Rhinolophus ferrumequinum: one gene and its partners. The protein of the gene in region 3 interacts with the protein of the main gene of each other region in a pairwise test. Links are inferred from orthologs where the notes say so. Each region holds a gene or a part of one and is shown on either strand. Other genes may lie near its edges. The genes, in order: SLC35A2, CCER1, PLSCR1 and GLRX3.

Region 1 (7,501 bases), on a different chromosome or scaffold from region 3:
CTTTCGTCTATTTAACGAACATTTATTGAGCACCTACTGTGCATACGGTACTGTTCTAAACTGTTGTGGCTACTCGTCTGTGGGTCGTGAAAGAATTCATGAGTCAGAAATACAGAAGGAAGACTAAATAAGAGTAGAGTCTGTTGGGCAGAGTCCTCTGGAAACTACTGCAAACTATTGTGTTGAGTCTTGTCTGAAGTTTTAAATTTTCTCACCAGGATGTAAATTGCTTTGCCCTGTAATGGAATTTTCTATTCAGTTCGGCTTTGTCCCTTGGGGTGGGGGAAACTGCAGTTAAGCTGTTTATCACAACCTTTGCATATGTTATGTAGATTTAAGTTGGAGCCTGGAGTGGATCCCATACAAATGCAAAACCTTGCCTAAGTCAAAGGGCCTGCTTGGGCCAAAGTAAACACAACCATTGAAACCTGCATAGCAAATGTATAGGAAGCAGAATCTTTAGCATTTGGTGGAAAGGAAGCGAAGAAAGAAAAGAAAGCTTTCAAAAGGTCCCAAGCTAAATTACACTTGTTAAATCAAATTATACCAGAGATCCAAATCTCAAAAAAGCAGGTCTAGGGCCAATGTTACAATCCCCCGTCTCATCATAAACTCTGGAGATGTCAGTGAACAAAACGGTTAACATATTATATAATAGTGGCTTTCATTAAGAACCACTTTTATTCTTCAAATATTTACTGAGCTCCTATTATGTGCCAGATGTGCATAGGCTTTTGGTTTGAATCACCTTCCCAATGGCTGTGTGAGTTTGAGCCCTTAAGATGAGGAAACTGAGACCCATGGAAGGAAGTGGTTTGCTCCAGGCCACGTGGTCAGGAGGCTGAGGGGCTACGATTAAGTTCAGGTGAGAAGTCAGCCTCCGAGCCGCTGACCTGATGTCTGTATTTCCTTTCCTCTCCTTGTTTCCCCCCACAGTCGGACTCAGTCACGTGCCCACTGGAAGTGGAACTGCTATGGAAGGTGGGGGCAGGTGGTGGACACCCTGGTGTGATCCGCCTGCTTGACTGGTTTAAGACACCAGAGGGCTACATGCTGGTCCTCGAGCGGCCTCTGCCTTCCCAGGATCTCTTTGACTACATCACAGAGCAGGGCCCGTTGGGTGAAGACCGAAGCCGCTGCCTCTTTGCCCAGGTAGTGGCAGCTGTTCGGCATTGCCATGCCCGTGGAGTTGTCCATCGTGACATCAAGGATGAGAACATCCTGATAGACCTCCGCCGGGACTGTATCAAACTCATTGATTTTGGTTCTGGTGCTCTGCTTCACGATAAACCCTACACTGACTTTGATGGTAAGGCTTCACTAAAACTCGGTGGGGAGATTTTTTACCTTTAATCTTTATGGTCCCTTGACCTTTAACCTTCAGTGCTGGGGTGTCCTGTAACCCTTGATCTATATTGTACCTTTATAAGGTTCTTGATTTTTAATACGGGGGACTCTCAAGCCTTGCCCTCTGTTAAAGCCCATCTTCTCACAGTGCCCTGACTTTCCTTGTTCTGGGCTCTTATGTTGGTGAGGGGATCCTGTTATTATCCTAAGTGTTCTTTTCCTGGTAAGGGTGAGACAGGATAGTTAGCAAGTCCCTCGGTAGACAGGGACTTCCTAGGGACATGCTAAATATCCTGTCTCAAGGGGATCTTACTGTTAACTTTTAAGTGTTTTTGTTCTGTGAGGGGATTCTGCCGTTATCTTAACTGCTCTTATTCCGGTGATGAGACCCTGCTATTATAGCTAAAGAACTCCTATTGTGGCGAGGGGACCCTGCTCGTATAGTAATTCTCTTAATTCTGGTGTGGGGACCATACTTCCTGGGGAGGGTGGAGTGGGAGAAGGGCATTATCAGAGAGTAGTCTAACCTCTGGCTTGCGTGCAGGGACAAGGGTTTACAGCCCCCCGGAGTGGATCTCTCGTCACCAGTACCATGCACTCCCAGCCACTGTCTGGTCACTGGGTATCCTTCTCTATGACATGGTGTGTGGGGACATTCCCTTCGAGAGGGACCAGGAGATTCTGCAGGCTGAGCTTCACTTTCCTGCCCATGTCTCCCCAGGTGAGGCCATCGCTGGCCCCAACCCAGTGGGCTCCATCCCTCCCAGGGACTGGTGTCCACAACTCACTGCTAATCTGTGTGTTTGTGACCTGCAGACTGTTGTGCCCTAATCCGCCGGTGCCTGGCCCCCAAACCCTCTGCCCGACCCTCACTGGAGGAGATCCAGCTGGACCCCTGGATGCAGACACCAGCCGAGGATGCACCCTCCAGCACCCCTCAAGGGGGTCCCACTTCTTTGGCCTGGTCCCTGCTGCCCTAGTTGGGATGGCCATCCCATGGCCATGCCAAAGGGACAGAAGGACATCTGTTGACCTGGTTTTACAGGCCATCAAAAATCCAGTGTTAACTAGGGTCAGTTTGGGGATCAGGGGTCAGAAGACATAAACCAAGTCTGCCCAGCCCCCATCCCAGTTCTGCTAAGGAGCCCTCCCAGAATTTACGGTTTCTTATCTGGAGGGGAGGACTTCTTGCTTCTCATTTTGCTAAGGATGTTTACTTGGTTGAAGTTACTTCCCTTCGGAGTCCCAGGACTCTTATTCTGAATTGTTACAACCCTTACATGGGCACCTCCTGCTACCACCACACAAACTTAGTTCAAATGCTCTAACTTGGGCAAGGGTGCTTTCCTTCAATACCCCAGCAGCTTTTATTTTAGTAAAGGGACCCTTTCCTCTAGCCTAGGGTCTCATATTCAGTCAAGCTGCTTGCCTACCTCAGCCCAAGGTTGCTTACTCTGGGGGAGGTAATGCCCTATTGTTACCCCAGGGCTTAAGAAGATTTTTTTATTTTATTTTATTTTATTTTTTGGTGAGGGGGACCCTACTGTGTTATTCTAAGTGCTCTTATTCTGGTGAGAACCCTACTTCCATAATTTGGGAAGAAATGGGAGATGGATACCACTAAAGTCCACTAGGGTGGAGGGGTGTGTGTTTTGGGGTAAATGGGGTAGGGGAAATAAGTCTTGTTGTTTGTTCACTTGGGGCCTCCCCCATCTTTTTTGGATTCTTGCTGCCTCCTTCTGAGCCAGGATTGTCCAGTTGCTGAAATGTAAATACTTAACGTATTGGGGAAAGGGAGCTCCAAATATGTCATCCTCTCCCTTCTCCCCCTGCCTGGATTATTTAAAAAGCCATGTGCGGAATCCCACTATTTAATAAACGTTATAGAATCACAAGTGACTGGCCATTTGTAGTTGTAGTGGGGCATTTGTGGAACATCTGCATGCTGAGACGAGGGGGATGGACTGGATCTCACTTCTACCCGCAGGAAGACTGTCTTGTGGTACTGTCCTAAAGATCTTTTATGGGTTCATTTAAGCAAGACCACAAAGAAAAACTTGACAACCCCCCACACACACATACACACACACACACCTGCTCTCGTGTAGTGCCCGGTATGTGCAGAAGGGCTGCATTGGAGATAGACATTGAAAATGTTTGGGACACATCCTCAGTTACAGATGGTTAGCTCAGGGCCAGAAAAAACTCCTTTCCCCCAACCCCAGGGAGAGACTAAATCTCTTCCCCATGGGAGAAGAAAAGCCCTTTCATGGCACTGGGGAGGGTGGGGCCAGGGTAGAGTGCAGACAGGAAATCCCCCCAGCCCCTTGATTTCTAATAACCTCTAGGGGGTAAGTCACCTGTTTTGCCCTTTTCGCCTCTCCCTTGTCTTACCTGCTCGTTCATCTCTCCTTCCTCAACTCTTGACTTACCTGCCCTGCCCTATACTATCTTGGTTTCACTTGTCCAAACCTCAGCTGTACTCTTGGCCTGTTTTCAAAAGCTAACCTCGGCCTCTCAGCTGCTAGCTTAGCTGTCTGTCTGCTTCTCACTTTTCCATCCTCAATGGTGACTCACTTGTCCTCCCTTCGCCTTTTGAACTCGCCAGTCACTTTTCACTTGTATATCCTAAACTGCCCTGATTTTATCGCTAGCTTGCCTGCCTGACCTTACACCTGCCACGCTCCCTCAGTCTCACTTCCCTCCCAGATGCCCGCAGGCTCTCCAGGGGGCGGGTCCTCACCGGGCTAGAGGAAAGAAACGTCAGTCCAACCTGGAAAGACGAGTTTTGACGCGGAAAGGGCGGTGCCATCAGAAGAGGGTGCAGAAACAGCGGGGCAACCGAGCCAATGAGACAAGGAGACAGCATGGGCGGGTGATTTGGAAAACTGGATCGATGAAGATGGGGGCGGGTCTAGTAACAGGAATGGGCTGAACAGGCTGTGCAGAGACGGCGGAAGGCTGAGCCAGCCGCGTGCCCGATCTCCTTATCCAGAAGAAATTTGGAAGTCCCGAGGCTGGCGGCAGAACGCGTTCTGGAAGGGACAGGGAAAGCCACCGCTCTGGTCAGCCCATCCCTCACCCTACCTCACCCCGGAAGCGGAAGTGATGGACACGGAAGTGACCTGCTGTTGCCGAGGGGACGGGCCCGGCAGATGCCAACATGGCAGCGGTTGGGTCTAGCGGTTCCACCGCGGCGGCCGGGCCAGGGGCGGTCTCCGCGGGGGCGGGGGCGTTGGAGCCTGGGACCGTGAGTGCGGGTGAGACAGGCTGTGGCCGAGCGGTCGGCGGCGGGGACTAGTCAGGATCGCTGAGGGGGTCAGGAAGGTTCCTCACTGAGGCGAGAGGGAGCATCCGTATGGACCGACCTATGTGGGGGTGGCGGGGTTGGGGGTGAGGGTGAGGGAAGAACGGAACAGACCGTTGAGAGAGTGTTGGTGGGGAAAAGACCAGAGGGTGATGGGAGGTCCCTTCCGCACATGGAGACTAGAGACCATTCTGAGTTTAGGGGGATATTTCCTTTTGGGGAGGCTAGGAGCATTAAGACCATTCGGGGGGGGGGTGTGTGTGTCTTTCCTTATAGAGGGGAGAGACCCTTCCGAGGGTGGTAGAGTTTCTCTTCACAGAAGGAAGAGGTCATTCTGAGTGTGGAAGAGTTCTTTATAGAAGGGAGAGGCTGCTCTAAGGGTGGTGGTTTCTTCCTTATGAACGGGCGGGCTATTGCGAGTTAGGGTAAGGCGGGTCCTTCCTTATATGACTTAGTCCGTTTTGAGGATAAGAATGTCCTTTATTATATGGGGAAAAGACCGTCCTGGCGGTCCCCTCCAAATGGAGCTATAGTTCATCGTGTGTGGGAGTGGGAGAAGGGACGTTCTGAGGGTGCCACCCTTCCTTACCGGGAGAGTCCACTGTGTGAGGAAAACAAGGAGTAGTAATTCCTTGGCTGGAGGTAGGATGCGATGGTTGGAGTACTGGACCATGTGTAGTAGAGGGAAATACCTCCTTATATCATGGAGGGCACTAGGCCACTCTTGGTGAAGCAACCACTGCTTATATGTGGTTCAATCCTTGGGAAAGTGTGGGAATCATTTGTTATGTTTGCTAGGTCATTGGGGTCAGAAGGAATCAGTCGTCATAGGAAGGAGAGGTTGGAGAGACCATTCTGAGTGTGAGGGAATGGACTAATTTAGGTGGGGGAAAGACCGTTTCTTAGGGGGTGGACATGCCCTATACAGTGCTCTCATTCCCTGTATTGGGGTATCATACTTCACATGGGACAGCCCCTCATTAAATAGAAGCAACATTTCATGTAAATCTTCGATTTGCTCTTCCATAAAATGGGAATCCTTATAGTTCCTTAGGAGATGAGAGAGATATTAGGGTCTATTGAGGTAATCCATATAAATCCCTGAGCCCAGCGATTGGCACACAGTAAGCACTCAATAAGAATGTAGTTGGTATTCTGTCCCCCGGGAGACAGGGCCTTCTCCAGCCATTTCCTGACACATCAGCAAGGATTCCAGGTATGGGCCCCGCCTCCTTCTCCCTTTCCGGCTCTTCTTCCTCTGACTGAGGCGGTGGAAGCAGGAGGAGTCAGACCCTGTTTGGAACAGGCTGGACAGACAGACAGAGGGAGGAAGCTGTGGTGGTTAGGCGGGTCCTGCTTGAGAAAAGACGGGAAGGTGGTGGTGTGGCTATACCCCGACGGCTTCTGACCCTCTCTTCCCCCTTGCTCCTTCCATTCCCCACAGCTCACCGGCGCCTCAAATACATATCCCTGGCCGTGCTGGTGGTCCAGAATGCATCCCTCATTCTTAGCATCCGCTACACCCGCACGCTGCCTGGGGACCGCTTCTTTGCCACCACTGCTGTGGTCATGGCCGAAGTGCTCAAAGGTCTCACCTGCCTGCTGCTGCTCTTCGCACAGAAGAGGGGTACGAGCCAGGGAAGGGTGCTGCACTGGAGTCGGTGGGTGGGACTCTGCGTGGTGTGTGTGTGTGTGTGTGTACGTACCCGAATCCACATGGAGGGTTTGCTGTTGGAGTATCTCTGTCTGTGAAACGGCCTGGGGAGTATGTAAGCACAGCTGAGCTGCGTTGTCCCTCCAGCTCTGAGTAGCTGCATCCACACTTTTACACCCCAACCACCCTGGGAGCTGGCCTGAGGGGACTGTACAAGGGAGACAGTCTGTGCCCATAAGTAGCAGGTGACCCTTACATGGTGATTTATGTATTTCTCTTTAAAAACTTTTCATTATGGAGAATTTCAAACACAAAATCGGAGAAAATAATAAAATAGTAAAATACCCATGTCCCTTATCACCCTGATTCAACAATTATCAACTCATGGCCACTCTGCCATTAAACTTCGTCAGTGGTTATCCACTCTGCCAATCTATGTCTGCCTATTACCCCCGCCTTATGATACTGAAGTACAGTAAGTCCTCCGTTAATGTTATCAGTCATCAATAAGTAATGAGACTTTAAATGAAACATTAAACAAAACCAGTTTTACCATAGGCTAATTCATACAAACAAGAGTTAAGTTTCTAGGCATCTCATCAACATTATAAAGCAACAACATTGAATGAAACAAATGGTACTCAGAGACCTGACCTGTGTCCCGTGTGAAGTATTATTTTGAAGTAAATCCACCCTTATTATCTTGAATACATACTTTGGTATATTAAAAAAAAATAACTGCAATAACTAAAAATTATACATCAAAAAATTAACAATAATTTTAAAAGTTAATAACATAACCAAATATCCAGTTAATGTCCAAATTTCGTAGTGATTTCTCAAATATCATAAACGTTTTTAAAAATTTGTCTGAATCGAGTTTACATCAAGGTCAGTGTTTGTAACTGGTTGATGTCTTCTGGGTCTGTCCACCTCTAGGTTTCCCTCCAACTCTTTTTTTCCTCTCTAGTTAATTTGTTCAAGAAAGCAGGTCATTTGTCTTACAGACTTGGGGTAACCTGGATTTTGCTGTCTGCCTCCCTGTAGTATTATTTAACATGTTCTTCTGTCGTCTGTATTCCCTGTAGGTTGGGTTTATCTACTAAGGTAAACACCTCCCTGAAGGTCTTCTTTAAAATGCTGCCTAGTCGTTTCTATATAAAGGCCTTGCATGTGGCTGTACCCTCAGCACT
Region 2 (7,279 bases), on a different chromosome or scaffold from region 3:
AAACACATTCTGCCCATAACATGAAAGATCTTGGTAGCAGATTTTTCTGAAGTGAGCCCCTGGCTGAGAACCCAAACTGCCAGGCCTTGATCACAGCCTGGTGAGACCCAGAAGGGAGGACCCAGCTAAGCTGTTCCTGGATCCCTGACACTTGGAAAGTCTGAGATAACACATGTATGTTGTTTTAAGCAACTAAGTTGGTGGGAAACTTTTATGCAGGAATAGAAAACTAATACAATATGAGGTCTGACAATTAAGTTTGAGAACTCATCCTAGAAAAAGTGCTACATACTTCATTGCTGAATATCACTATGGTCACCTTCGAAGTACTGCCTTTGGGAAGTTATGCACCAATTCTAGCGCCTAGTCCACCCTTCAAAGCAATTTTGAAACTCGTTTTCTGGAATGGCCATCAGAGCTGTCGTCGTATTACCCTTGATGTCCTGAATGTCATCAAAATGTCTTCCTTTCAATATTTCCTTTATCTTTGGATAAAGAAAGAAGTCACTGGGGGCCAGATTGGGTGAGTAGGAAGGGTGTTCCAATGCAGTTATTTGTTTACTGGTTAAACACTCTCTCACAGACAGTGCCATGGGAACTGGTACATTGTCATGATGCAAGAGCCATGAATTGTTGATGAAAAGTTCAGGTTGTCTAACTTTTTTTACACAGTCTTTTCAACACTTCCAAATAGTAAACTTGGTTACCTGTTTCTCCAGTTGGTACAAATTCATAAGGAGTAATCCCTCTGATATCAAAAAAGGTTAGCAACATCATTGAAACAAATTTGTGAACTTAATTGTCAGGCCTCATATATAAACATATGGTAAATGTGTTATATTTCAATATTGAATAAGAACATTTCATGTTTCAGTATTTAAAGAATATGGATGAATTAAAGTATGTCTTTAAAAATATTCCTTAATTGAATTACTGATGAATGTGTTTAACATGTTCTGGTGCTAATTTTCTTGGATGATTTACCGAACAATTTGTATTATAATGCCAATGTGTTGAAAAAACTAAAAATCATAAATTGTAACTTGCTGCTTCTCCTACTAAGAGGAAGAGTGGGGCAAGACAATATAGCATTCATATTTCTAATAGGGAGGATGAATATGAAAGATATAGCTCTCACCATGGAAAAAGTATATAAAGCTAGTATTATCGGTATAAAGTTCACAGCAACTGATCAAAAAAAATGATATCCTTAATTATCTATTAGTTTATTTTTTTTATTTTAAAACAAGGAAAAAAATGGATGGGAATTCCATGATAGCAACATGGTCAATTTCTAAAGCTCTCAATGAAAACTCTATATTGTATACCACATTTATCCTAAAAATAAATCTGGATTATAACCATTGCATTCTGAGATAAGCAGAACAGGGAGAGGTCAACTTCCAAATGTGTGAGTCTATATCCAAAAAGGTACACTGGAGGCTAAAATTGTCAGTATTAGACATTTGAGTCAAGCAAGCTTGTCTTCAGCAAACCACAGAGCACATAAAATTGAATGAAGCCTGTAGCATTTACAGGTCCCACAGCAATGGTTGGAGTCCTGCTCCAGGAACCCCCACGCTGTTCTCAGTCTTCAACAGGAATGCATAAGTGACCTTTGCAAGCTTCAGGGATTCCCCACATTTTCATTCTATGTCATTTAATGGAGGCACGTATAGACTCAGTTTCCCAGTGGGCACTGTTTCATTTTGCACAATTCCATCCACCATGGTAAGGTAATAAGGGGATATACTCTGGGACAGTTTTCTCCAGGATCAAGCCTGGTAGCACTGCTTGATGCTTCTAAAACGTGGGAGAAGAAAAGGACACAAGAGCAGGGATGCCTATTTTTGCATCAGGCACAGGGGTAGTTATCTTTACATATAATGTATTTACTTCTTTAAAATTCCTAAAGTTTCTACAACGTGGATGGACCTAGAGGGACATAAAGGGTATTATGCTAAGTAAAATAAGTCAGACTGAGAAAGACAGATACCATATGATCTCACTTTTATGTGGAATCTAAAGAACAAAATAGTTGAACAAACAGAAAAATAGAGCCATAGATACAGAGTACAAATTGATGGTTACTAGATAGGATTAGGTTTAGGGGGATGGGTGAGAAAGGTGAAGGGATTAAGAAGTACAAATTGGTAGTTACAAAAGAGTCGTGGGGATGTATAGAACAGTAGGGGGAATATAGTCAATAATACTGTAAAAACTACGTATATGTCAAATGGGTACTAAACTTGTCAGGGGATCACTTCGTAAATCATGTCTAACCACTGTGATGTACACCCAAAACTAATATAAAATAATATTGAATGTCAAGTATAATTTAAAAAAAATAGTCATAAGGATATACAGCAACATAGGGAATATAGTAATATTCCAATAACTATGTACAGTATCAGACGGGTAAGAGATTTATTGGGGTTATTACTTCATGAGGTATATACTATCTAATCACTATGTTGTTTTGTATATTGAAACTAATTTTTAAAAAGTCCCGAAGCGTTTGAATATGATGATGATATTTAACGGTTACTAAGTGCTTACTGGGCATCTACACTGAGTGTTTTAATGCAGTACCTTATTTAATCTTTAACACAACCCTATGCAATGAGGTACTGGAACACGCCACGGGTAAGAAACTGGAGGTTCATAATTGGTGAACTGAACTTGAAGCATGTCTATTTTTTAATAGCCTTTATTTTGTAGAGTAGTTTTAGGTTCACAGCACAATTGAGCAGAAGGTACAGACATTTCCTGGATCTTCCCTTCCCTCACTGATGCATGGCCCCCCCCCATTATAAACATCCCCCACCAGAGTGGTACATTTGTTACAGTTGATGACCGACATTGACACGTCATTATCACCCAAAACCCATACTTCACATTAGTGTTCACTCTTGGTGTTGTGCATTCTACGGCTAAATGTGTAATGACATGTACCCACCATGCAGTATCATCAGAGTAGGTAGGCGCATGTCTACCCAAATCAAAGCGATATTCGGACCCATAATACTGTAAAGGCTCCCAATGTATGTGCTGTCTGGCAGATACAGGGACAAAAGGAAAGACATATTGACATATTTGTATTCTCAACAACCCATGGTATATACAGTCTGGTAATGTTTGCTTAATCAACGGAGATTTTCACGGTCTATCACAATTAGCAAAGTGATTTCTCAGACCTATTCCATTTGCTCATTACAAGAGTCCTATTTAAGGTGCGTGTGGAGTACAGGGCAGCGATGTCCTTAAGTATTTAAGCCAGGCTTAAATACTAGCCCTGAAGTTCATTAGCCCCACGACCTTGGGCAAATTAACCTCACAATTCCCTGATCTGTGAGAGTGGCAACAATGCCTACCTCACAGGGTAGGCATGATGATTATGTGCCACGGGTCCGTCTGCACACAATAAGCAACACAATAAATGTTTGCGGTCTTGTTTCGGGTAGCTCGAACTGCAGCTCCCAGGAGTTAGAAAAGTAGGCACTGGCCATAAAATAAGGACTGTGGCCCAGTTTTCCGACTGGAAGAGCTTTCTCTTTATTCTTACGCCGCCCCAGCCCCGCTCCCAAAGGTGTAGGATATCTTTTTCAATTGTCGCACCTCCCCTCTCCTCCAACCCCAACCCACGACTTTAGCTGAAGGGCCATCTTCTGTACCCCTAAGCCTGGAGGTGGTACAAAGGGTTCAAATAAACAGCCTTAAGCCAACACACTGGGGCAACACAAACACAGCCTAGCCTCGCTTTGCCCCTGTTAAAATCTGCGTCACAAGCCCCCCGCGAATGTTCACAGGGCACGTCGTTCCAGCCGGAACCCCCACCTCCACGCACAGCGAAAGCCATCGACGCCAATTGGCTGTCACCCAGGGCAACCAAGGACGCAGTGGGCACGCGGGGGCTCCGGCCGGTATTTAAAGGCTGCCTGCCTGCCTGCGCCCCACAGCCCCCCCAGGACGGCGACCGTGAAGCACTTGGGTTGAGACCGAGCAGCAAGATAACGCGCAACCCCGGCCTTCCCCGTGCCCAGCCCTAGCCTCTGCCGAGGCGGGTGCCTGTGGGGCCCGGGTGCGGCTCTCGCTGCGTGTAGCCCATCCATATCTTCCTCCCCCAGCATCTTTATCCAGCCCCAGTCCCAGCCAGCCAGCTTGGGCGACACAACCCGGGTGCGAAGGGCAAGAGATTACGACAGAACAGCGGGTTAGTAGCGAGTGGAGGAGAGGGGTCCCCCTGGTGAGGAAAGGCGGGATCTCAGCGACAGGCACGTGGCACTGCAAGGGGAGACACAGGGTGACGAGGCCCTTTAGACCGTGGGATCTGGCCAATTTGAGGACAGCTTCTGGGACGCTTCCATTTAGAGCTCTCGAAGCTCCGTGAACTATGACCCAGACCCTCAACAAAAGGGAAGACCCTCTTAACCTGGGCGGCGGCTGGTCATCCTCTGCCCCGTTTCGCACCTGGTCTTCCAGCCACCGAAGGCGCAGGGGCGCTCCGACTTACAGGCGGCGGCCCCGCTATGGCCCCAACGCCGCGTTTGAGCCCCGGAGGAAACAGCCGAAGCAACAGCACGGCCAGGGCCCATGGTTCCAACCACCCCGAAGTCCCTACAGGGCCGTGCACTCTAACCGGCGGCGCTGGGGAGGGCCCTGGCGCCCTCCTCGGGCGGGATGCTGGAAGCACCCCGGCCGGATGCAAGTGATCCGAGTGTGTGGCATGCACCCGCTGTGCCTTTGCTGCTGCTCCTGCTGGCAAGAGCCCTGGAACCCCGGCTGGACGAGACCCCCTGGCAGGAAGAAGCGCTGGGGCCGCAGGGGCCGCGGCCTGCGCCGCCACCCTCGCCGTTCCTTCCCCAGAAACCCGCCCGTGGATGTGAGCACGCTGCTGCGGCCGGTCAACCTGTACGGGTGGCGGGCGCCCGGCATGCGTGCGCCGCGCAACACCACCCAGTTCATCATGAACCAGGTCTACGAGGACATGCGGCAGCAAGAGAAGCAGGAGCGCCAGCAGGAGGCGCTGCGGGCACAGCGGGCCCAGGCAGGTGGCCCCGCCTCCCCGGCGGGCTCCGCCTCCGGAAATGACGCGCAGCCCGCTGGTGGGGAGGAAGACGCCGAGCTTCCGGAATGTTTGTTTAGCTGTGTGCGGAACACCTCTCTCAGCTTCAGTCCTGTCCCCCAGGCGGAAAACCAGTCTCCCGCCCAACAGCTGGTGGAGAAGGAGGAGAGAAATGATGAGTGTGAGCAAGAGGAGTGTGATGGGAAGGAGGAGGAGAGCGAGGAGGAACACGAAGAGGCAGAGGCCCAGGATGAAGAGGAAGTGGAGGAGTCTGGCTCTGGGGAGGAGGAAGAGGAAGAGGAAGAGGAAGGAGAGGAGGAAATAGAGGAAGAGGAGGGGCTGGAGGAGGATGAGCAGAGAGGGGAAGAGAATGATTTGCCTCTGCAAATACCTTTGTCATTCCTAGTGGAGGCTGAAGAAGAGGGAGAGAACTTTATGAACTGTTCTTTTTTTAGCCCCAATCAGATAATTCCTGAAGTGCCACAGGAAGCTCTCCTTATGGACATTAACTTTTAGACATCAGGAAAAGATAAGGAATGGGATGGAACTGATTTGAGGCTAAACTGGATTAACAGCTTATTTAAAAAAAAAAACGAATTAAAAAGTGAGTTCCATTAATTAACATCCATGTAAACCCCTTCTTTGGCCGTTATAAACTGTTTAAAAATTGGTGTGTTTGTGTATGACTATGGGACAGGGGAGCTTTCAAATCTAATTTAATTGGAAATTATTAAAGGCCAAACTATTTTATTACTACAGTTTCAATAGTTTCATTTGGTATTTCCCCTCTACACACCTGAGTTTTTAAAATTCTGGCAATGCTGAAAACTTTTTATAACAAATTTATACAATTTATCTACTTTATGAGCTTGGAATCAATAGTTATTTGGACTGTTACATGCATAAGAAGCGAGTGCCATGTCTGCTGAATGAATGTCTATCAGTGCTTTTAGCATGATAACCCAAATAGCTGTTTTAAATTTCTTTTCCTTGTAGACTTTCCACCTTCACAGTTCATTTTTGAGGCCTGTATTTTGGTAACGCCATCTGCAGTCTCTTGTGGCATCGCTCATTTATATTCCTTGTTCCACAGTGCTATCGATCTTCCTCAGAAGAACATGAAGTTGCTTCTGTGGAACTGTTTATCTGCCATGGCCTCAACAATCCATAAATCCATGCATGGAGAGGATTCCCCATGGTCAGAAGTCAACTTGCACATCTAGTTAAAATCCAAGGTAACTGCAAGCGATGGAATATGGCTTAGATTTTGAAGCCTCATTCCAAGATATATTCTTTGTCATAAGTTCACAGGAACCATAAAAATAGTTTGTGCAGAATGGATTTTTAAGATTGTTGTCCTTTTGGGGGTGGAATACCTTATTTCTTTCACAGATTTTCTGTTTTATAAAGGAGAATAAAATGAAGATGTGTTACATACAAGCCTACATGAGTTTATTTCTAATGTCCGAACAATTATGTGTGGAAAATAAATCATTCAAAATGATAGCTGTTATTCAGACATTTTCAGGAAGTAATAATACATTTCTTCCTGGGCACTTAATTCTCATAATTTAATAAAAGTTTCTATCCATAGCATATTTCCAGAAGAGGTGGAATCCCTAGATGAAGAATTTGAGCCTGCCTTCTCAAAAATTACATCTTTTGACAAACTGTACTTCTAAGTATAATCTGAACGACAATTTAGTATTTATTTGGTGAAGAGACTGTATGGTGATATCTTACCTGGAAGTTGATTTTTACTCATATATTCCATTGAATTGCAGCTTTTGGGGTGATAATATTAAGTTGTTAAAAGAATAAATAAATAATAAAAACTTTAAAAATATTTAAAATAGTAAATGAAAGTACCCTGCTTCTCACATATCAGATACCTGTTCAGCAATACTTCAGTAGCCAACATAATGAACAGAAGAAGAAAAACTAAAACAGACCTTGTGGGAATTTTTAAATGATACCAAACACTCCAAACTATAGCAGTGAACAACCATTTAATTATGCTGTAAGAAATCGTTTCTTGCAAGATGCAATTTCTGAGTTACCTATAAAACTAATTTTAAATTGGCCACACATTTGCAGTTCTAATGTTATATGCAGAGGAAAAACCAAAAATCCTGCTCCTGGTCAATCCTGACACTGGTCAATAAATTCTTACAAGTCATAGCCCCAATATCTAATATTCTTAAACAATCACTA
Region 3 (6,976 bases):
GTAGGTTTATATGCTAAAGTAAGGTGTTGGAAGCATCTATACATTTGTCTGATGGTCCGAATGGCTCCCAAGGTCAGCTTTAATTTGCCTGAGCTCAATGAGGGAGAGGGGTCTGTTTATTAGTTGGGGGCCAATTTCTCCTGCTGTTTCTATCAGAGGCAAGAGCTTAGTTGTCCGAACAGCTTTAGGGGCAGGAGAAGCAGGGGCCAGCAGTTGTGTTGGGGACTCTGGGTACAAGGGTGGTGAAGAAGGTAGCCAGAGGGCCTTCTTTGGAGTCCCTGGGGCCGGAGTTGGGTCAGTGAGAATTTGGGGATCAGTAAGCACGGGCTTAGTAGGGCTAAGTTCCACTTTTTGCATAAATCTCTACCACCCCTCTAATAGAAAAATACTTGTATAGAAGGACTATCTGACCATTTTCCAAGACGTTTACAAAAGGGGATGAGTTGTAGAAATGTGTCATAGTTTAGGGTCCCATTAAGAAGCCAAACCTCCCTCTCCCCTAGTTGGTATTGGGGCCAAACTGTATTACAAAAAAAAAAAAGATTAGTTGGCTTTTAAATTTTGAGGATCAAATTGTGACCAATTAGAAAGGGTACATCTCAAGGGGGTACTGGCGGGAATGGACTCTTGATTCCCCATCTAGAAAAGGGAAAAATTGTCTGGGGCGAGGTAAGACTGCCCCTCGAGACAGTGGCAGACTATCCCACCTCTTTTCTGGATTTGTAGGGGTTGCGAAAGAGTCCTGGTAGTTCCCGTGTTCTTCTAGGAGTCGAAAAAGGCTCGGTCAGGAGGGGGAAATTATAGAGGGCTAATGGTCAAAGCCCAGGGTATGATTTTGATTATTCCATTCGGAAGGAAGTACTCAAGCCCTCATGCAAGTAGCTGTCCCTTTGTCCCTCCATCTCTCAGTCTGCTGGTATTAGCGTTACCCATTGTTGGGCAATAGTGTTCAAAAAGAACAAGATCTTAAGGGATTGGAGAGGCAAATTTCGGAGGTAGGAGAAAAAGTTCTGAAAATGTTGAGAATCTCCTCTGAAGGTGGGAAAGGCAAGAAAAGCTTGCCGACCCTTACTCACTGCCATCCAAACAACTGGAGACAAAGGATGCAATCCAAATCATGGCACCAAAATGTTACGGGAGTCTCAGTTCTTCTTGCTGACACAGTGAAGAATCAAAGTTCAGCAAGCTGATTAATATGCAAGCAGGGTTTATTAGTGATACATTCTCAGGGAAGAGGTTGGGGAGAGGGAGAAAGAGATTAGAGAAGCCTAGGTCCCGGATATTAGTGATATGTTCTCAGGGAAGAGAATGGGCCTAGCAGAGGTGAGAGAGAGAAAGGGGGAGGGGGGAGAGAGAAAGAGAGAGAGAGAAAGCGTGAGCAAGAGAGCTGACGTAAAAAAAAAAAAGGGTGAGAGAACTTGCGTCAGTAGGACTTATACAGGGAGTTATCTATTGATTTTAGGCCGGAGAGGTGGGTGGGGGAGGTGGTGCATGCTCTTTCATAGGAGGGCATGACTTCCTAAGATGGGTGGAGGTCTGTTGACTCAGATCCTTATCTTGCTCCACACCACCTCTTGTCATCTGTTGTTATAAGAACAGATATGTGGCTGGAGGCAGTTAATCAAAGCTACTTGTGAGCTTTTTCTGTAGGCACTAAGGACCACCTCCCACTCCTCCTCCTCCTACATTTTCTAGCTTCTACCTAACAGTAGGATGGGTAAAGAAGGTGAAGGGATTAAGAAGTACAAATTTCCAGTTATAAAAGTCATCATGGGGATATAAAGTACAGTATAGGGAATATAGTCAATAATATTATAATAACTATGTATATTGTCAGTTGAGAACTAGACTTACGGGATGGTCACTTTGTACATTATGTAAATGTCTAATCACTATATGGTATACCTGAAACTAATACAACATTGTATATCAAAAGTAATTCTTAAAAAGTTGTCCTGATGTTAAAAATAAATAAATAAACAAATGTCAAGGAAGAACTCATACTGGATGTCCTGAGGTACAGAAAACTTTCTAAAATAAGATGCAACGCCTAGAAGTCAAAAGTGAAAAACACAGTAAAAGATGATTAAAAATGAAAACTATGTATTGTTAAAGCAAGTTTAAATGTGACACAATCCGGAGACTCACTGAGCAAAAAAAAAAAAAAAAAAATTGTACTCTATTAAGCAGATGAGGAATTGAATTTACAATATATACAGAGCACAACAAATTCGCAAGGGGAAAAATGTCCTAATCCAACAGAAAACTATGTATTAAATATCAGATATTTCACAGAATAAAATGGTAAAATGTTTAGCAATAATATAAAAAATTACTCAACATTACTAACAACTCGAATTAACAAAAACAATAATAATAGCATAATACTTGCCAATCAGAATAACAAACATTTAGAAATGATTATCAGGAGGTGGCGATCCATGGTAAAACAAGCATTCTCATATTTTATTGGCAGAACAGAATAAGTTTCTAAAGTGTGTACAGAAAAATAAGTGCAAGGACGATGACTACAACATAATTTGTAATTATGAAATTAGAAGCAAAGTACACCTAAATGATTAGATCAACGATACAGTTCTGTATTAAAGGCAAGGGATTTCCAAGAAGTTTCATAAAGTGGAAACACAACAGAGAATAGTTTGCATAAAATAATCCTGTTAACGTGAAAAACAAAACTATGTACTGTTAGGCACGGCCAGAGGAATGAGTCATGGGAGACTAAAATTGGACTATTAGAATTTATTTGGCGTGTTTGAACTGTGGGAGGTCAGGCTAGAAAAGACCACAACCTTTTGGAGCAAAAAGGGGTATGGAGTTTTACCGGAGGGGGTCAATGAGGTTGTTCCCCCTTCAATGCTTCAGGGGGTTTTCCTTGCATTGTCTCTAGCAACCAAGGGTTTTGTTTGGGACGTGACCAAGCCCTGGGCTCCACACCCTGCCCCTCTAGCCTCCCTCGGTCCAGACCTCCTAGGCCCTCCCAGGCCTGCTGATCACGAGCCATTAGAACAGCATAAGATGGTTTCTACTTTCTAGGTGGCTTCTCCAAGCCTAAAGCAACATAAGCCGGCAGGTACAGGTACAAAGACAAGATGGCTTTTAAGATAAGAAGTTTCCTGTTCTGTCCTAAATGTGGCCTAACGTGTACATTTGTGTATATAGTATGTATTGAGCACTTACTGTGTGGCAGGCATCAGTCTAAACTTTTTGTATTTTAATTTCCTTAATCCTCATAAAAATCTTTGAGGTAGATATTATTACTACCTTCATTTTACAGATTAAAAAGGAGACACAGACTGTAATTTGCACCAAGTCACAGAGATGAGAAGGGATTCAAACCAAGTTGCTTGGTTTCCTCCCTCCTTTTTCAGTCATATTTTCTCAATTTCGCTATCCCTCCCAACTCCTTTCTTCTCTCCCGCAACCTTCCTTCTCTCTTAGTAAATTTTCAAATGTCTCTTAACAGTGTCATGGGGAGAAAAGTGGGGGATGCAGAAGGTATGTTTCACTTATTTTCTCCACATTCAGCTTTACTGTGTGGAAGATCATGTATCGCTTTTGTAAATGAAAATTTTAGAGAAAAAAAAAAGAATGAATCCTTCAGTTCAGTTCAACAAATACTTGTTTATTGGGCTTGGTTGCCACTCCTGGAGGGGCCTGAAAAACTAAACATTCTAAACGCATCAGGTCGGTTTGACTCTTAAACGAAGTTAACATCGTTTCGTGGAAAGAGAGAAACAGAGAAAGAGACAAAGAGCAAGAGAGCGAACGTGAAAAGACGTCATGAAGGAAAACAAGCTGGCCCCATCCGCGTTTGTCCTCAGCCCCGGTCACTGCTTCCAACCGGAATCGCCGGGGTGGAGGTCAAGCCGGGGTAAAGGAATTTCCCAGCACTTCAGTGCTTTCCGCCCCACCCCGAAGGCAAACCCTCCCGCGTTCAAGACTGTCCGCATTCTAGCCAGTGTTGACTTCCCCATGAAATGCAACACCAACAATTTTGGAGTCTCTGAGAGTAGGAAAGGGGGCAGGGGGACATCTCCGCGCCCGCCCCTCTGGGGAGCCGGCCTCGAGGCAGCTCTCCCGCCCTCCGGCAGCCACGCGGGACCCCGAACTCCCACGGGGACTGGCTAGACAGACCCTTTTGTGTACGTAAGATCCAGGAAACGAAACCTAGAGCCGGGTTTTCCGCCCCGCGTAGGTCCCTCGGAGGCCCCCTTCCTGGTGACTTCAGGGAAGGTTGTGTAACGCGCCGCGCTGAGCTGCCGAGGAGCCCAGGGGACACAGCGACCGCCAGGCGCCCGGGTTCCCGGCCCTCGTCTCGCCCAGCGCCGCCCCGGAGCAGCAGCAGCCACAGGTGGGTAGGTGCGCTCTCCGCCCTGCCGCGGGCACGGGGCGCGGGGCCTGTGCGGGTTCCGGGCCTCGCGGGGCCCGGGGGCGATTCGTGACCGAGGGGCACGAGGGCTGGCGGGTTGTGCTTGCGCTGAGGTTGGGGGGTAGAGGATGGGGGTTGGGGTCCCAGCGGTCTCGGGAAGCCACCTCGGAAGTGGAGCGGGGGCGCTCTGAGGGTCCCCGGGTGACCTACCTGGTAGAGACTCGACCAACTATGGTGTTTCCTTCCCTGAGAACATCTCTTCCCAGCGAGGAGGGCAGCCCTGAATCAGGGCAGGAACCTGGGCTCCGGGGTGTCTGCCGGCACAATGTGGGGTGTTAGAAGGGACGGTTAATAGAACCTGCCAGCGGCCACTTAACAGTAAATATGAATTAGGATACAGCTGGAACTATGCTAGGACCTGGAACACCAGAAGAATTGGGAAGCTAGAGGGGCTGTGTAGCATAGAGGAGAAGACCATTATCTCGCAGTCCACCTGCCTGACTCCAGTCCTGCCTCTACTGCTTATATCCGTGGACTCTGAGCCAGTTTCTTCTGCATATATGTTCCTTCCGTACCTCATCTCTGAAACTGTGTAACTAGTAAAAGAGTTCTGAGAGTTAGAGTATGACAGGTATTAGTGTAACTTCGTTAGACAGGGTCTGGCACTGCAGAAAGTACTCAGTGAAAGCTTTTGTTATTTTTAATATTTGACAAAGTCTCTGCTTCTCCCCGCTTTCTACCTGGTCCCCCTGTGGTTTTATTTATACATTTATTCCTGGAAGTGCTGGCATGCTCACTACCCAGTTCCAGGAAGAGGCAGAAAACTATTGTTTCTCCTGGATTAGTAGTATTAGGTACAGGGTTAGTACCGTACAGGTAGGTTTCACTTAGTGTGAAATGTCAGGTGATTTGGGGTCCCCTTTTTCTCCTTTGAACTTTTATACCAGCAGAAGTTTCTCCTAATACCACACTGGTGAGTATGACGATTGTAGCACTTTGAACACTGAAGAAACACAAGGGATGGTAGTGAAATGAGTGGATTTCTGCAGTTGGGTAGAAAAGTGGCATGTGAAATAACTAGGTCAAGATTAAGCAGCCTTCGCATCTGCAAGAGAGCTGTTTTGTCTGACTGAAAGGAATGAAATTAATAATTCTGTACACACATTGTTGAATCAAAAAGCACCAATTAAGCGCTTTGTCCTGGACAAGACAGGCCATGCACTGGCCTTTCAGAGCTTAGAGTGCAGCTGGGGAGACAGTTAAGGCGTAACAACCTGTGCACCTCTCCATCTTCCTGTCTCATGGTCTCTCCCTGTGGTCTCTCTCTCACACACAGACCTTTCATGCCCTTGAATGAAACAAGCTCTGTGCAGCCTCAGGACTTCTACATACTGAGTTTCCTGTCTATAATGCCTCACCCCACCCCACCCCCACACCTTCATGGCCTGGTTGATTTCAGACTTCTTCAGCTCTCAGATCTCGCTTTCTTTACAACCCCGTCAACCACCACCAGCATCTAAGCTAGTGGCCCCATAACTCTTTATTATAGCACCATTATATTTATTTATAGCATTTAGAGTATTTCTAATAATATAATCTGTCATTTTCTTCTAGTGATTGCTATAATGGCTTTCACTATGCCTTCAGTCAGTATTCTTTGAAAAAAGGCACAAGCTTTGTACCAACCGAATATTTATATACATACTTGTATATATGAACATGTGCATTATAATATGTGTGTATATATACACACACACTATTATACTTTCTTAAACAGTGCTAAGTTGAAAAAGCCAAAGTACTGTAGTTAATCAGTACTAGTAATTGTACTTTTCATTTTCCAAATTTTGAATTTAAAAAATACTTTCACCTTTCCTGGTAAAAAGAAAATAGCCTTGCGTAAGTTTGAAATTTGCAAGAAAGATACCATAAATACAGTCTTTTAATAAATTTTACTGAAATTTGACAATTTGAGAGAAATTTTTTTTTCAATGAATCAAAGACATGAATGCAAAGGACATGAATCATTTTAATTCAACTAGTTAGTGAGATGTATAACATTAAGTGACCATTCACTCTTTGAGTGTAGTTTCCTCGTTTATTAGGAGGCAAGGAAACAACTCAAATTTGTAGGGAGCTCTGAGTTGTCAGGAAAAGCTTTTCAGGAGAAATAACGCAATCAAACTAGGATAACTGACCTAAAGTTTAGTTTTTGTTTCTTTTGTCTTTTTGGTTTACTTGTTAGTGTGGTAGAACACTTAATTTAAGCACTACTCTCTCAGGTGGTCCCAGTTGATGTAATACCTACTTTTTTTCTTCACTGTTTACTATAAAATGCTCCCCCCAAATGGTTCTGAGCTTATTTGTTTTGTTTCCTTGAACTCTAAATACAAGATTGGGTTTTTACAGGAAGACTCCCTGGTATCAGGAACTTTGATTTGTAAATGGGTTTCAGTCACCCCACTTCCACCCTATACCTTGCACATAGGGTGGACTTGTGTACTCAAATGCTCAACAACATCTGGGCCACCTGGATGTATAAACTCATCTGTTTTTGCTCTGCTTATCTTTTACCAGAACCATAGT
Region 4 (7,706 bases), on a different chromosome or scaffold from region 3:
CCTTCATAAACATGAGTCTTATTTAGTTTACTGGGTATGTAATTCTTCTTTCCTTTGAAAATCATGATTTTTCAAGCAAGTATAGCAAAACTACAACCCATAAACATCTAGCTATGACAGTATAAACCACCTTTACAGCCCGCATGTACGGAGAGTTCTCCCAGTAAAAGCACTTCCTGGTAAGGAACACAACACAGAAGCTTGGCTGACTTGTGCCGGCCCAAGTTCCGGCTCCTACAGCTGACAGAGGAGCCCTCACAGCCTTCCCATTTCCCTAGCCTGTGTCCTCCTCTCTATCAGGGTGACAGCTGGGGCATCCCAACTGTCAGGCTGGCCCTTGGACTAAGAAGGAGGGCTAGTGGCTTGGTAGGACCTAGAATCCGGTTTATGTCCATCCACATGGTTTGTGAGGCACCTTTCACAAAGCCCATTCTTGGGGCCACCAAAGCTAATGGACAGTGGGGTGATATTCCCTGGTGGGCTCTGGAGGGCAAGATGCAGACTGTCCACCTCTCGGTTCCCCCATTCTGCGTCCAGGTCGATGGTCTCTCAGCGAATGCTGTGCCAAGGTTTTTGGCAGGGCTGGGCGTGGGGGTGCAAGTAGGCTTAAGAGAACCTAGTCCAGGGATTCTGCTCTGGGCTTTGGTCCTCCCGTCAGGGCTCCGGGGAAGGCATCTGGGCCCTTCCCACCCAGGCGCCCAGCAGTCACTGAACCCCTGGACATGACCGTGGGCCCCCGGCCAGCTGTGTGGACACAGCCCGGGAGTCTGGCACTGTGCTGACTCCACCCGGTGAGCTGTTAGCAAGTTCTCAGCAGACGTGCGGGTGCTCACTGATGCTTTTTATAGCAGCTCCAGAAGATATCGCAGCTTGAGAACAGAAATGAAAATATGTATCCTTCAGGTGCCAATCTACTGTACTTACAGTTTTACTATTTCTCTGCAGGGGGCCCATTAATCCTGCAACAGTGAAATTCCTAAGGAAATTAGTTCCCTCCGGTTGGGGTTACCCTCAACTGGTCTTTGGGGGCAGAGTGATTGGAATTTAAGAGTCTCTTAAAAGAAAGGAAACGTTGGCCACTTTACCTGAGTAACACACTTTCCAGTACAAATGCTTCGTCGTCCATTAAAGCTGGCTCACTCCTTCCCTGTGTGTCTCAGCTCCTGGGGTGGGGTTTACAAAGACCCCGCCAGCTGGGGGTTCAGTTCCAAGTGCTCCTCCACTGGCTGTCACTCCTTTCCTCTCTGGGTTATATGTGCCCACCTGGAACTCAGCACTGTGCCCTGCCTGCCGTGGAGGACACCACCTGGCTGGGCAAAGGAATGAGCCAGGCGTCATCAGAAGGGCACGGCTGCAGTATTTCCCTGCCTTTGCAGGAGCAGTAAGTGTTAGCTGTCATTACCCGGGGAAAACACACACACACACACACACACATTCCTTTAGAATGGGGCAGTTTGGACATAGGCTGGCATTCCTTTGCGACCTGCAGCTTTGTCTGCAGTTTCGCTCTGTCAGGCCAGGCTTCAGCCCCGAGGACCTAGAGCCCCAGTTTCCTGGTCCCCATGCTCCCGGCCCCTGAAGTGCCATACAGCACCCTGGGGAAACCTAATTGTCCTATCCTTCTCAGGGCTGTGCTGCTGTCCTAGGAAAACTGTTCCTGGTGCCAGACCAAGAGCGGCCTGGGGACCCAGGAGAGGCCCCTGCCCAGAGGGTACTTAAGATGAAGTGTCACTGGGTTCCAAAGGGGTTCCCCACCTCCTTCACTGCTCCAAATTGGAAATAAGATGTGGCTAAACGATGCTTACATATGGAGTCAGCAGAATGTCGGTGCCTGGGATGAACCCACACTGGGGACACAGGCCCAAATCAGCCCCTGGATCTTGGATTCCAGTGGTTTTGAGCTTTCAAGCACTAATAGGGGCACCAGGAAAAGCCAAGTCCAGAGTGTAACAGAAGGAACAGGCCAACCCCATTTAATATGACAATGACAAGTTTTCTCCTCTGGGCCTGAACAAGAGAAAGAGGACTGGGCCCTCCAACACTGGAGCCGCATGTGGGACAGGGTGGCGGTGGCAGTGAGAAGAGCTTGAAGCCCAACGGGAGGGCCCTGGGGTGAGGCCTGACAGTCACTCGCTGGCCCTTCCCGGCTGTGGGCCTGGCCGGTTTCCTTAGCTGTAAAGGGGGGTAGGCACTGAGGTGTTTACAGCTGAAGGTAGCACAGAATGCTAAATGCAGGCACGTGTGTGCAGCTGCTTTGGAAGGCTGAAAACCACCACATACCTGTGTATACACCTATGGACTTGGAACTCAGGAGCCACAGCTCCCGACATGCGGCGTGGGCTCAAAGCCGAATGGAGTAGTCTTGGTTGCCTACGTGAGAGCATTTTCAAGCTCAGGCGTCATCTGCTGATGTCAGGCCTGTTGATACCAACAGTGATAACTGCAGAAAGGGCAGGGGGCAGGACTGGGAATGTCTGGGAATGTTCCTAACTTTTGTTTTGAAGTAGGGAGTGTGCTCTGTAGCTGGTGTATGCTGCTTTCGGCAAATTCCATTTAAAGGAAAAATCAGGATTTTTAAAACAGCCACATTAGAAGGCTGCTTACTGTTTTGCTTTGTTTTTTAAAAAAGATCCATATACCACATTTCCCTGGTGCATTACAATTTCATTATTTTTTAAATTACAAGGCCAGTTCCACTCTTTGAAAAAAATGCCCATGACACTCAGAAGCCTATAATAATGTAAAGCATGAAGGTCCTCCCTTTAAAACTCCCCTATTTTCACTCTCTGCAGGCAAGCTCTCCTACCACTTTGGGGACATCCTTCTGAAGGTCTCTTCCTATGCTACATTCAGCCGTGTATAGTTATATATTTGTTTACATGTAATTCTGTTAAAGATGGTTATTGGAGCCTAATCCTGTTTTGCAACATGCTGTTTTCCCCCCATTGAATTTTTCCTCCATAGTAATCTCTAGGTTTCCTTTACTAAAAAGAAAAAAAGAAAAAAAAAAGAGCAACTAACCTTTTTATTTTAAAATAATGTGGAGTCATATGCAGGTATCAGAAATGATACAAAGAGACCTGTGTACATTTTCTCAAAAGATAACATCGTGCAAAACTGTAGTAGTGCCACACCCAGGATACTGGTATCCATATAACCAACCCATTCTTTTCAATTTCCCAGTTTCACTTGTACTTGTTTGTATATATTTTGTTCTATGCAATGTTATCGCATGTTTGAGTATCTACCACCACAGTCAGGAACAAACAGTTCCTCATTGCTCTCCTGTTGCATTTCAAACACTGTAATTTACAATTGTCAGTAACACCTATTCTCAGGGTGAGGCACACGTGTAATGGGCTCCTAACCGGTCACTGTCAATGACCAGAACAGCGCTGCCAAGGGAAAACCTAGGGTGAGCCGCAAATGAAAGTCACTACATAACTAAATTTCTAGCAACCCCATTAAAAATATAAAAAGATGTAAATTAAATTTAATAACATATCTCACAAAACCCAATATATCCCAAATGTTATCATTTCAACATGCAATCAATTAAAAATTACTAATGAGATAGATTACCTTTTTTTGGTACTACTAAATCTTTGAAACTCCGTGAGCCCACTTTTCCAGTAGCTGCGCGTGGCGAGCGCGCACTGAGCACGACTCTGCCCGGCTCCAATGCAGACACTGGGGTACGCACATTCCTGCCTGTCTCCATAACTGAGCTGGTGGAGGAGACAAGCACAGTTCCAATCCAGTGAGATGTGCACGTGGGAGAAGCGGCACGGTGCCCTGAACACGAGGGAAGGCTCCATCGGGCCTGCCCTCAAAGCCTGTCCAGAACCCCAGGGCTGTCCAGGAGGAGCCCCTCCTGTCTGGGTGGGAGCACGAATTTTCAGTGACATGGGAGCTACAACAGGAGCGGCGCTTTGGAGAAAAGGCCAGGTGTGGTGTGGGGTCCTCCAAGAGGAGACAGCCCTCCCCAAAGCAGATGGTGACTGGGCTCTGGGGGCGGAGGGACTTGCCGTGGAGATGGAGGGCATGGACGTGACTCAGGCCGGAGAGTGTGTGCGGGGCATGACAAGTGTGGGAGGACACCACCTGGAGAGTCAACATTAGGGGGATCCACAGGGAACCAGGGAGGGGCTGGAGGTTAGAGAGTATGCGGACCTGGAGGCCCGAGTGAGGGAGGGGCAGGGGTCCTGGAGCTGGGCCGTGGTGCCAGGCGATGCTGCTCCGAGGTGGGGGGCATCGCGGGGGCACAGGTGGCGGGACACGCGGTGGCTCGGGTTCGGGTCCTTCAGGTCCGAATTCAAAGGTCTTTGTCAGTGTTGAGGTTCCGAGATGGCGCAACCTCTCTTTCCCTGACCTCCCATCCATCCTCACCTTGGTGTAATTTCATTTTAGGTTCGATTTTTGTTAAGTGCAAACCTGACTTCTCTTACACTCACATCACACGCACACCCTTCTCCCAGCTGCTGTGGGAGATGCAGGGAAGGTACGGAGCAGAAAGACCCGCAGGCAGACTCCTGGCCGTTGGGAGCCGGGAAGCTCAGGAGCAGTGCGCAAGCTCAAGCGGCCGGAAGCATGTCCCCAGGTGTCCTCGTCTTGGCTGGTGCTGGCGCAGGCGCAGGCGCAGGCGCAGGCCCGGGGCGGGGCGGACCCGGGGGCGGGGCTTTCGCGCACAGCGTCAGAGGCCCCGCCCCCCGGGCCGCCGGCGCTCGATTGCTCTTGTCTGGCGGCGGCAGCATGGCGGCGGGAGCGGCCGAGACGGCGGCGGTGGCCGTGGAGGTCGGCTCAGCCCAGCAGTTTGAGGAGCTTCTGCGCCTCAAAGCCAGGTGAGCGGGGCGGCGGGCGGCAGGGGTGAGGGGCACGGCGGAGGCCGGCCTCGCGGGACGGCGCGGCCCGGCCTGGGCGGAGCGGCCGGCGCGGCTCCCGGGCCCTGGCTCCTCACCGCGGCGGAGGAGCGGGGTCCGGCCGCACACCCCCGGCGCGGCCCCTTCCCGCGGTGTGAGCGGCGAGCGGCAGAGGAAGGCCGGGCGGGGCCGGGGAGGCTGCCCGGCTGCAGGGGGCGTCTGGAGCGCGGTGTGCGCCGCTGGCAGCGCTCACACTTAAAGCCTCCCGGCGGCCGCAGCCTGAATTTCCTGTTTGCTGAGCTGGCCTGCTGGGGTCCTCCAGCCCTGGGAAGACGCCCCGACGACGGCGCAGGGGTGCGCAGTCCGCCTTTGGGGACCAACGGGCCCCGTCGTGCTCACCGCACCTCACTCTGCCGGGTCCTCCCTCCCGGGACGCCTGTTCTCAGCGTGTCCCTGGTGGTGCGGTGGGAGCTCCCGCGCCCACTGCCCGGGAGCCAGTGCCCTGCTCAGCCTCTTGGTGGCCGTGTAACCCCGGGCAGGTGTCATAACCGGGCCTCAGTGTCCGCAGCGGTGAAATGGGTCAGAACAGCGCCCACCCCAAGGTTGGGAGCACCGAGTCGGATGCTGCGCGTACCGCACCGCACCGCACCGCCTCGCGTGCACGAGCAGTCAGCCTTAGCTCTCGGCATTTTCTGGATGGAGCGGAGGGCATGGAGCTGGCACGCAGCAAATGCTTACGGACCTAAATGCGGTAGAATTTTGCTGAGGAATGTGAATTAGAGACAGGTGCTACTCTGGGCGAGTAGCTCAGGTAGCGTGTGCAGGTCAGACGGGGGACGTACTGCCTTCGTGGAAAATGGGAAGGGTGCGAGTAGCCTTTCATGGTCCTTGGCCTTTCATGCTTTACGAAGGGGATGGAGTTAAAAGTGTTAACCACAACAGCTCTTTTGGCGTTTCAGGGTTACCTGGAAAATTGTTTGTTTAAAAAGGAGAGGGGATGACGTTTACTCATTGATGAAAAGTGGGTTCTGATTCAGCCAACACTCCACACATCTTAAAATAGCGCAATTATGAAGTCACCAGAGGTGGCCTCCTAAAATGAGCAGGGCTTGTGTGGACCTGCCCTCAGTAAATGAACTTGCTACCATCTGGAAGACCATTTTGCTTTTTGTGTATTTCATTTTTTGAAATATTAAGGTCCTTAAGATATCACTATCAGGAAAAGTTTAAATGGAAGTACATTTGGGTGTATTCTTGTCACTGGTCTGTACTTGAAGTGACTCCAAAAGCAGTGCACCTTTTCCATAGTGAGAGTTTCATTGGGCACATGGGAAATGACGCCTGCTATGTGGGCAAGGAACAAATCTCTGCAGCTTTTTGTGAAAATCGAAGCATTTAAGAATTATTAAATAGCATTCGTTAATGTAATAATTTAAAGTCTACTTCCCAAATCTTCACTTCTCAGTTTTAAAATTTCATATGAACTGAAAATTTTTCTTTGCTTAACTCAATCACATGTTTTACATGTTAATGAAACCTCAGGTGGTCTGTACAGTGGGGATATTAATATCCATTTGCAGAGTAATTAAGGTTTTGCCTATTTGTAAAATGTTTAATAGAGTCTAGCATGTGCTAGTGTTTAAGAAGTGGTAGCTTGTGTTATCTGCAGATGAATAACTGCAGGAGCAGAACACCTGTAATAATAGAAACAGCCATTAATGAGCACTAATGATTTTACTGATGAAGAACCCAGGTTCATTGCATTGTCTAAAATCCCATCAATCAGGATTTCTCTAAAGGTTTTCCTTAAACAGTGCACCCTGCATTTTGGGCTATCCGTGAAGATGGAGACAGTGCTGTTCCCTGTAAGCCGAGAGAGGATGATAAATAGCACTTATGTTTGTTTCAGGTTTATGTCCTTACGATATAAGGCACCATGTACTGAACTGGAAAGTGGAAGCTACACATCTAGATATGAGAATATTGCAGATGATTTACAAGAACAGTGAACATTAATGTCATTCTTCAGTGTTTTCAAAGTGCTTTATAGTTTTGTTTGATCTTCCCAACATCCCAGGATTTTGGTTATTGCTGTTTCACAGAGGTGGAATTAAAAGCCACATTAGTAGTAATGAAATTTAAGTTGTATGTGTGTGCTTTTTTATTTTCTTTTTTGCATGTCATTTCATATTGTTAAAAAGTTTGGTAATCTATTTTAATTTTTAAAATACATGTAATCATATTGTGAGGATTTTCCCATGTCATTAAAAAAATCTTCAACATACGATTTTTTTCATGGCTTTATAATATTTTATATGACTTAAAAAAACTTGTTGAACAATACATTTTTGCAGTTATTTGCTATGGAAAATAATAGGAAAGCATTCAGTCACATAAACCTTTGTCTCTAATACTTTCTTTGGATACTTGAAAGTGGGAAGTTTCTGACAGGTTCCAATTTAATTTTAACCAGCAGGATATGAAAGTGCTTGTCTCACTCTGTCTTTCTTGTCATTGAATATTATTTTAAAAATATTTTTTCGATCCAGTAAAAAGTGGTATCCTAACTTTTAAAAGATTGAGGTATTAACTTACATACTATAATAAAATGTACAGATCTTAATTGTTAGATGTGATGAATTTTGACAATTGTATGCACACAAATGACCATCATTCAAAACAAGGATAGAGAGCCCCAGAAAGTTCTTTAGCCCCTTTCCAGGACTCCCCAGCACCGATCTGCTTTCTGTCACTGTAAACTCGGTTTGCCTGTTCTTGGACTTAATGTAAATGGAGTCACACAGCTCCTGGTCTTCTTTGTCGTTTTACTCAGTGTATTTTCGAGAC

The links.
Region 1: the proteins of PLSCR1 (region 3) and SLC35A2 interact in a two-hybrid assay, tested with the Homo sapiens proteins (2 studies listed by BioGRID and IntAct). The two-hybrid records come from large-scale screens. The link is inferred for Rhinolophus ferrumequinum from reciprocal best matches to the Homo sapiens genes PLSCR1 and SLC35A2.
Region 2: the proteins of PLSCR1 (region 3) and CCER1 interact in a two-hybrid assay, tested with the Homo sapiens proteins (2 studies listed by BioGRID and IntAct). The two-hybrid records come from large-scale screens. The link is inferred for Rhinolophus ferrumequinum from reciprocal best matches to the Homo sapiens genes PLSCR1 and CCER1.
Region 4: the proteins of PLSCR1 (region 3) and GLRX3 interact in binary tests that used the Homo sapiens proteins (3 or more experiments, as listed by UniProt). The two-hybrid records come from large-scale screens. The link is inferred for Rhinolophus ferrumequinum from reciprocal best matches to the Homo sapiens genes PLSCR1 and GLRX3.

Annotation. Positions count from the first base shown.
Region 1 is NC_046284.1:85,746,288-85,753,788, forward strand, and holds the start of SLC35A2 (UDP-galactose translocator), read left to right. Parts: upstream 1-4,490; 5' UTR 4,491-4,510; coding exon 4,511-4,607; intron 4,608-6,098; coding exon 6,099-6,281; intron 6,282-7,501. Other genes in the region: PIM2 (serine/threonine-protein kinase pim-2), read left to right, coding at 937-1,309, 1,892-2,068, 2,164-2,327. UniProt on the Homo sapiens protein: Transports uridine diphosphate galactose (UDP-galactose) from the cytosol into the Golgi apparatus, functioning as an antiporter that exchanges UDP-galactose for UMP.
Region 2 is NC_046293.1:82,529,325-82,536,603, reverse strand, and holds CCER1 (coiled-coil domain-containing glutamate-rich protein 1), read left to right. Parts: upstream 1-4,393; coding exon 4,394-5,246; intron 5,247-5,520; coding exon of another isoform or gene 5,521-5,534; exon of another isoform or gene 5,535-5,656; intron 5,657-6,158; coding exon 6,159-6,187; 3' UTR 6,188-6,300; intron 6,301-6,659; 3' UTR 6,660-6,759; downstream 6,760-7,279. UniProt on the Homo sapiens protein: Regulator of histone epigenetic modifications and chromatin compaction into the sperm head, required for histone-to-protamine (HTP) transition.
Region 3 is NC_046285.1:5,726,306-5,733,281, reverse strand, and holds the start of PLSCR1 (phospholipid scramblase 1), read left to right. Parts: upstream 1-3,975; 5' UTR 3,976-4,372; intron 4,373-6,976. UniProt on the Homo sapiens protein: Catalyzes calcium-induced ATP-independent rapid bidirectional and non-specific movement of phospholipids (lipid scrambling or lipid flip-flop) between the inner and outer leaflet of the plasma membrane resulting in collapse of the phospholipid asymmetry which leads to phosphatidylserine externalization on the cell surface.
Region 4 is NC_046299.1:2,007,397-2,015,102, reverse strand, and holds the start of GLRX3 (glutaredoxin-3), read left to right. Parts: upstream 1-4,690; 5' UTR 4,691-4,752; coding exon 4,753-4,841; intron 4,842-7,706. UniProt on the Homo sapiens protein: Together with BOLA2, acts as a cytosolic iron-sulfur (Fe-S) cluster assembly factor that facilitates [2Fe-2S] cluster insertion into a subset of cytosolic proteins.